Ovis aries: one gene and its partner. The protein of the gene in region 1 binds, or shares a complex with, the protein of each later gene. Links are inferred from orthologs where the notes say so. Each region holds a gene or a part of one and is shown on either strand. Other genes may lie near its edges.

Region 1 (4,132 bases):
TAACATATTTATCTGATTCTAAGCCAAGATTCTTTTTTTCTGGTGATAACTTCACTGACTCTTCATGAGATGAGGAAAAACAAATAAGCAAACTTAACATTTTAGTGGTGACCATTTTACCAAATCTAAAGTTGCAGTGTCTTACTTGTGAATCTAGGACAGAGGAAAGGGAAAGCAAGAAAGGAAAGGAAGGCAGGAAACATTTATTGAGCGCTTACAGCATGCCAGAGGACTGGCCGCTGTGCTGCCAGCTCAAGGCATTTTCCATTCCGGCCAGTTATCTCCCTTAAGCGTCACAATACCATCCAACGGAGTACGTATAACAGTCCCAGGTTTTCAGAAGTGGAAATCTAGGCTTACAGAGATTAAATCCCTTGCTCAAGGTCACCCACGGGGAAGATGCTAGGTTTCTGACCAGACTCAGGTCAGAGCCATCCCAAAGCCCATGCCCTGTGCCCCTTCAAATGGCTAGAAATGCCTCTGCTCGCATGAGGCTGAGATTACCCTCTGCCCTCCTTCCCTCGAGCTCAAGTGCCTTCTGACTGTCTCATCCTCTTGACTTTAGGCCCCCTCTCACTCAGAAAGTCATCAAGACACACTTGAAAATACAATATAAAAGCATCAACCCACGTCCTGAAATTGAGCACCCTTCCCTTTGCTGCCACTAACAAGTTAATATGACGTCTCTTTCAGGGAAGCTTTCTGAATGGAATAAATTGGTGAAAACATGATGCAGCTGACAATATTTGGTGATGATGCAAACAGGGCTGCCCTGTCCATAAATGGTTTTGTCTCCAAAGAACCCGCTCTCCTGTGTCCTTTTCAAAGAAAAAAAAAAAAGATTGAGCAACAGAGAAACAGTACCCAGAAGACATGGCTCGGTATAATTGCATTGCCCTCTCTGTTTATGTGTGTCGGACAAGTACCCCCAGAGAACTTGAAATGTTCTGGAGAAGACAGGAATGTCATTCAGAGATGATTCCACAGGGGCTGGCTCTGCACAGTTCCCAGCTTACATCCTCCCAGGGCAAAGGAAGCCTCTCCGCTTGCAGCAACCTCCGGGCACCGCCACCAACTGCCACCCGTTCCTTCACCTTTTATTTACATCGCAGAGCAGACTGGTTCATCCGTGAAGGGGGGAGGCGGGAAATAAGATGCAATCCAGATTCCTGCTTTTTCCGGGGACCCAAAAGCGGCGGGGGGCGGGGGTCACACAGAGAAGGAAGTGGAGCCTAGGGTGCCCCATCAGCGTGGCACGACGACCCTCCCCTCCCCTTCTACACCAGGACTCGAGCAGAAGTGTCCAGGGACCCCAGGAAGCCGGGTCAATTAAGCCCATTGCCTTGGCCCGGCTTGGCGCGGTGGAAGAGGCGCCAACCGAGCGTTCTGCACAGGAAATCACTGCCCCCTTCAGGCCGCGTCTCAGCCGCTGTGGCCGGAGCGTAGGAGCTCGCTCAGTCTGGAAAAACTCGCAAACCCGACCTCAAGCGGCCAGCGATTGCTCCTCTGAGCCCCCTCGGCGCACCCTAGTTCTCGGGCCGGCGGAGATGTGCGCTGTTGCTACAGCTGGAATGCAAGCTGAGGGTGTAAGGAGGGGGCTTAGGACGGAAATCTCTCGGCTCTTCTGCTCCCCTCAGAGAAAGAGGCCGGGAAGGCAAGCCGACTTGCGCTCCAAGTCCTGCTTCAAGTCTGCGCCCCGGGAAACTGCGCCGGCAGCCGCCCGGCCACCAGCAGCGGCGCGGCCGCACACTCGCGCGTCCGGGGCGAGACCTGCTCGGGACACTCTGAGCAACTAACCGGAAGGGGTCTCCTCAGGAAACCGCTAGGGCCACAGGCAGGGCCAGGCACCTGCAGGCAGCAAGCAGCGCTGCAGAGCCGGCGGCCCCACACCGGCCGGACCGGTGCGGGTTCCAAGCTGCTGGCGCGCACCAGGCGCCCAGCCCTGATGCGCGCTCCAGCCCCTGGGTCCCCGAGCCCTCTGGACCTCAAAAGCTCAGCTCGGCTTTTCTGAGGCCCGCGAGCAGGCCCGTGGCCTCTCCAGCCCTTGATGGCCCAGTTTATGGTCATTGCGCCTGTTCTTCCCACCTAGCACTCCACAGCCCCACCAGCGGGACTTGGGCAGGGGTGACCACTGCAGGCCTTTCGGCAGGTTCAGTTACCACCTCTTTCTCTGGGCAAAGGAGACCCTAGTTTTCTATCCCACATCCCACAAGCATACACACAGACACAATCCCAGAGGGGAAAGATGCTCAGCAAATCTTGGCACCAGCTGTGCGAGCCAAGCCCGGCGGGACCCAGAGGGTAAGCACTGAGCCCCAGCCTGAGGTGCCCTCGGCAGCCTCAATGAAGGCTCTGCCCAAGGGCCGAAGCTTGCTTCTGTCCAACACGTCCTGCCCCATTCCCCCCACAGCCCCGACGGCGCGGGCAGCCGGACACTCACCTCGGTGTCGTAGAGTCGCAGGTCGAGGAAGTAGGGGCGCAGGAGCGACTCGTTGCGGATCTGCTCGATGGCCAGTTCCACCGCGGGGAGCACGCCGCGCCCGATACTGCCCTTGGCCACCTCCTTGGTGAGCGGCATGAGGCCCATGATGGAGAGCGGCGGGCTGCTGGGCGGCGGCCGGGGGGCACCCCGCGCCCAGCCCCAGGCCCCGGGCGCGAGCGGCAGCAGCAGCGGCAGCAGCAGGAGCAGCAGCAGGCGCGCGGGCGGCGGTGGCGGCGGCGGCGGCGGCCCGGGCTGCCCGGAGCTAGGCGGGGAAGCCATGCCGCGCCGCGGGCTGCGGGCGCCGGCTCACTCGGCCCGCATGGCCTGGCCCGGCCCGCCGCCCCGCGCCAAGATCTCCCCGCGGCGCCCGCGCAATGGCGCCGATCCCCGCTCCGGCTCGGGCTCAGGCTCCGGCTAGGCACAGAACGGCCGCGGCGGCAGCGACAGCGGCAGCGGCGGCGCCCGTGACGGATCAATCACGCCGGGAAGGGGTGGGAGCGAGCAGAGTGCGGGAGGCGGGGAGCAAGCGAGCAAACGCGAAGAGGGGGGCCGGCGTCTCCGCGCGCGCCTCTCTCCGGCGCGGCCGCCCCGAACCAGGCCGCCTCCGCCCGCCCCCGTGCGCGCTCTGAGCTGCTCTCCCGCCGCGAGCCGTTCGGCAGCAGCCCCTGGAGCCCGGCCGGGGGAGGGCGAGCTGCAGGAAACGCGGGAGGCGAAGGCGAGGCTGCTCCGCGGCGGCTCGGGCCGCCTCCGGGGACCCGGACGAGCCGTGCGCACCGGGGGAGGGGAGGCGCTGGCGCTGCGGCGGCCGCGGGGAAGGCCGCCTTCCCAGCACACGCACACCCGCGCCCCCGGCCCTCCGCCGCGCTGGCTGCCCCGCGACCGCCTGGACCTGAGCTCTGGGGGACAGCGGCTGAAGGAACGAGCAAGGCGTGCTGGCACACGCAGTGGCCACGGTCGCTTCGCCGAGCGCTTCCTGTAGCACCTGCACGATGATTTGGGACTGCCTCTCGGAGGTCTGGCTGGGAAGGTCTGGTCTGCGAGCGCGCCACAGAGGCGTCCTAGAGGCACCTGCAGCCTACACTCCCCTGCTCTACGCTGGTGTCTGGGGGGCCATGACTGAGCCCGAAGCAGCGGCCAAAAATACCGCCGGCGGTTGAATGCCCTTTGGTGCTGAGGTTTCTGGCCTTTAAGGTGTGGCTGAAAGCCCCCTTCTTCCGTCTAGTCTGAGCTTTCCTTTGCCAACCTCAGGAGCCTGGAGTCTTCGCCTTGCGTGTGCGATCGCCCCCTCCAGGCGTTTGACCTCCCCCATGTCCCCATTCCCAAAGGGGGCTCCGCCCTGGAATTCTCCCACCCTTGCCTGTCCAGGTCGGAGTACTATCCTCAGGCCACAGTGGATCCAAGCTCCCCTTGACCTGGCCCTCTGTCTGACAGATCGCGCCAGCTGCAATGGCTAACCTTAATTAGCAGTCCTGTAATCTGACCTAGAGCCTCGGGTCCTTGTACCTCTCCAAGCTTGAACAATAGGAATCATGGTCATTAAAATATAAAATCCCAAGAGGTGATCAATAAGGGGGGCAACATCATTTCAGAAAACCTTGAACCAACCATTTGTGGGCAATACCGACGACCTTGAAACAAGGTTGAGAACTT
Region 2 (4,118 bases), on another chromosome or scaffold:
GGTCTTTCATCAGTCTGTACTGCCATCTAGCCAAGATCACGTCATTCAGTGCAACATCCATTTTGCTTTCAACGTCCCTGATGAAAGCCAGTCTTCAGAAACCAGCTTAATAGACTCCAAAGTTCAGATAAGACAACAGTCAGCAGCACTTCAGCCACTCTGAGCCTACCGAACTCCCATGACCCAACAGCCAAGTTCTCATCATTGCCTTATCTTCACAGTTCAATATCTGACAGACACACATATCTATTTTCATTTCACATATTATCTATACCAATATCATTTGTATACTGTCATTTTGAGGCCTTTAAATAGCCTGTGAGTTGATTGGGAAAACAAAAGTTACCTTAGGTAAAACATGAAAGCTGATTATAACCTCTAATCTTCTAGCTATACCTCAAGAGTTAAAAAAATAAAATAAAAATCCCAAACAGCATTCCTTAGACATAGACTGAACACGCAGACCATATATACATATATATCTATTAAACAAATCCATACACATGGAAAACAACAAGAACACTCTGTACTTACGGTAGAAGACGTACTCGGTGTAACTTGACCAGATCTTGTCATCTGTATATTGGTTGACGAAAGATGCTGTCACTGAGGAGTTACAGGCCACCATGTGGAATCCACATTCTGACAACATATCAAAAGCCCTTTCCAGATGCCTGAATTTGAGATAAAATCTGGATGTGTATCTTTCTGGGGCTCGGTCAGGGTCTCTGCTCTCATTCAAAGTTTCTCCAAAGACCTCCTTCGCCAAGGAAATCCTTCCACAAACCAAAATCCGGGGAACTCTCCTAAACTTGGCATCCGCCTGCCCCTCTCTGCCCATGGTGCAGGACCCCCTGTAACCCACAGTAATAAAACCCCACTTGCGGTCAGCAGGGAGCAACGAGGAAGGGGGGCAGATTCTCGTGTCACTTCCTTGGGAGGCATCTTCAAAGTCACTGTGGCAGAATTCATCTGGGCTTTGCTTGATTTCATCGGGGGTCAGGAGTTTGACCAAGTCTGGGAGCTGGAAGTACTCAGCTTCTCTTTTCAGTCTTCCCCTTTCTGGAAAGTGATCAGGCAGGACCACCTGCCTGTCCCTGAGATAGTCCAGAATATAACGGAACAAGAATCCATCTCTGTCAATGAAAAACCTTCCCTTGGAGTCCTTGGCTAGGTCGTTAGCTGTGTCTCTCTTTGGGGAAAACATTTTCCACAGGAGGGAATGAGGGATGCTTATTAATGTGGAATGGCGAGTGAAATAAACTTGACCCCCAACATTCAGCTCCACGACCTCAGGGAAGGAGTTGGGAACTGCAGCCCCTTGTTCTCGAGCATAATAACGACTACAGTTGCCACTCAGAGCCATGGTCCCTTTCTTCTTTCTCTTCTCCTATTTTGATGTGAAGGAGCGATCCAATGGAGTCACAGCCTGATCCTTTGCAGCAACTTATAAGGGAGGGAGAGGATGTTAACTTGTTAAAAACAACCTCCTCTTACCCCAGTTTTTTTTTCCCCCAACAAAGCAAAATTTCAAAGAGTCCACAGGTGAAGTGATGCTACAGAAGTAGTTTAAACCCTGGCAGGTGGTGAGCTATGACTTCATGGAATATAATCAACTCATCTGCATCCAGTTTTCCCCCAAGCTCAGTAGGCAAGGCCGGTCAGGTCCTCAGTTACTGAGAGGTCTGTCTGCAGGAAAAGAGAGAAAATTATTTCCTCAAACACAGCATGAGTCAGAAAAAAAGAGACTGCTGGAGAGAGGAGAGGGAGGTAGAAGGAGGGAGGGAAACTGAAAGGGAGGGAGGGAGAGATTATTTTACATAAGCAGCCCTGGAATTACTGATTTCAGCCATTCTTCAACTAAATCATAGCTTCTTTCAAGGTATTTCGTGTCTACATATTTATCTATATCCCTCTGTCTCCAGCATTTAGTATTAAAAACATTTCTATTTGATTTCTGCATTAAAAATGAATATGCAATTTTCAACTTCTAAAAGGAGATTTATTTTCTTTCCTCAGCTGGAGAGGAAAAGCAATAAGCCCTGGAACTTACCTCAGTGAGTGCTGGAAACAGTTCTTGTGAAGAAATACCCATTTGCAAAGCTGTCCAAATCCCCAGCCACACACAGAGTCTGGAGCTTGTCAAAATCCCAAACAGGTAAAATACAGAGGTATCAATGAAAAGTGCCAGAGAGATGTGCTCTTAGAAAATAATAATTATATATATAAATATTTATATAAATGTATATTTGCGTATATGTATGTATATATTCACTTCCAATCTCAAGTTAAAACAAGTCACAAAAAAGTTAAACCGTGACTAGAGGTGGTTGGATTGAAGAAGCAAAGCAGAGAAAAATATTCAAAGCTTCTCCAGGAAGGAAAAAAAAAAAAAAAATCAAACCTTTGGAAAGAATCCTTAAAACAAAAGAGAGTTGCAAGAGGTACCGGGACTTGGAAGCTTTTCAGAAAGCCCAGAAGCAAGACAGATGCTCCCTGCTGGGGTCCCAGGTAGCCACCCCACCTGCCGGCAAGGGCAAGCGGGCTCCCATGTTCCCAGCCAGGTGGGAGCGGGCGGCCGCCGCGGCGTAGAGATGCCGGCGCGGGGCTCGGGCTCGGGCTTCTCCGGCGGAGGAGCTGGGTGGTTCCACAGTTCCCAGTGCAGTTCGGATGCTGTTGTTTCAGCAGTGCAGGCAAGAAACCATCCAGGGAAATGACTATTACATCATCTTAAAGGAATATGGCTTGGAGAGAGCGGAGGCAGCTCCGAGTCACGTCCGCCTCGGTGGCAGGTCGCCGGGACGGCACGGGGACGCCGCGCTCCGGCCGTGGGCACGCGAGTCCCCCGGGCGCTCCGGGCTCGGGGCGGGGACGGAGCGCGACGCAGTCGCTTCCCTCCTGGTCCTGTCCCGGAGTCTGGAGTTTCCAAGGGCCTTTGCTTTGCCCTTTCGTGCTGTCTCTAGACCTCCACAGCCACCACCATGCCCCAGAAACAACCCCTCAACCCAGATGAACACGGCGGTTTTTCATTTTTAAAAAACCAACAAACAATTCTTTTGAGTGTGCACTAAATTTCTGCTGAAGGGCAAATTACCCCTCTAAAGCTTGTTTAAAAGGAAAAAAAAAAGCGTACCCAGTGACCCCAATGTTCAAGCTACAAAGTGGTTTTTTTCCCCCCAAGAGAACTAAGCCATATTCTCTCAGATGCCCTCTCCTGTTTTTGTTTTTTTTGTTTCTTTCTCTCCATTCCTCTGCCACCCTCACCCCAGCAAATAAATAAATGATGAATATATACATCCATACCTTCAGTCTCTCTGGAATTACTGATGCTCCTTCTCAAGACTATAGGAAGAACTGGTACCCTCAGGAAAAAACAAGGTTTCTATCAGTAAGTCATTATCTTGGCTTCCATGTAAGACATCGTTACCTGCAACTTTTTTCTGGGTCTGTTTCCTTACGAAGCTTCCCTCTGGATGTGCCCCCGCCCCCTCCCATCTTATCCCAAGAGGACTCTAGTGGAAGACACGCCTGCAAAGAGACATTTTACTCCTGTCCCAGAGGGTTCCCTTAAGTGCATCATTAGAGTTTCAGGAAGGCATTTCCAGGGCAACCTAATCCACTAACAAAGTGCTTCCAGTTGATCCTGCCAGTCAATAATGGCCCAGGCAACAGCTTACAGTAAGTCAGCCATTTCCCCTTTCAAACACCAATGTCTTAGGACTCACATTCCTAATGAGAATGTAGTACTTCATCCATGAATAATATATGCGGGGCACACTCCATTCCAAACAACTGCTATTTTTAAAAGATTAAAACCAAAACTGGAGAGAAATGTGTGAATTAGATACATTTTATGGGATACATGGGTTTATTGCCAGCTCTTGCCCCAAGAATTAGCATGAAGATAGACTCAGCAGTAGCATAAAATAATTTCTGATCTAACACTCTTTTCTTTCAATAAGAATCAGGTTACTGAACACATTCAGAGTATTAGCTAACACTCCAATATCTGATTATATTTAACTTTGTTTCTTTAACTAATGTATTAACCTACTCTGGCCTCAATCATTGGGATTTTAATGCTGGACCAATCAAGGATGCGCTTGTTATTTGATGCA

Evidence for each region. The genes of interacting proteins can lie anywhere in the genome.
Region 2: the proteins of GABBR2 (region 1) and KCTD16 are in contact, whole or in part, in a crystal structure (PDB 6M8R), measured with the Homo sapiens proteins. The link is inferred for Ovis aries from reciprocal best matches to the Homo sapiens genes GABBR2 and KCTD16. Residues at the interface, in NP_005449.5 of Homo sapiens: Ile882, Asn883, Ile888, Gln889, Arg891, Leu892, Ser893, Leu894, Gln895, Leu896, Pro897, Ile898, Leu899; in NP_001357415.1 of Homo sapiens: Asn30, Gly32, Gly33, Gln34, Val35, Tyr36, Asp64, Leu65, Ala66, Lys67, Asp68, Ser69, Arg72, Phe74, Gly79, Phe80, Arg83.

What each region holds. Positions count from the first base shown.
Region 1 is NC_056055.1:49,126,088-49,130,219, reverse strand, and holds the start of GABBR2 (gamma-aminobutyric acid type B receptor subunit 2), read right to left. Parts: upstream 2,809-4,132; 5' UTR 2,762-2,808; coding exon 2,441-2,761; intron 1-2,440. UniProt on the Homo sapiens protein: Component of a heterodimeric G-protein coupled receptor for GABA, formed by GABBR1 and GABBR2. Within the heterodimeric GABA receptor, only GABBR1 seems to bind agonists, while GABBR2 mediates coupling to G proteins.
Region 2 is NC_056058.1:52,974,038-52,978,155, reverse strand, and holds the start of KCTD16 (BTB/POZ domain-containing protein KCTD16), read right to left. Parts: upstream 2,807-4,118; 5' UTR 2,054-2,806; intron 1,690-2,053; 5' UTR 1,367-1,689; coding exon 535-1,366; intron 1-534. UniProt on the Homo sapiens protein: Auxiliary subunit of GABA-B receptors that determine the pharmacology and kinetics of the receptor response. Increases agonist potency and markedly alter the G-protein signaling of the receptors by accelerating onset and promoting desensitization.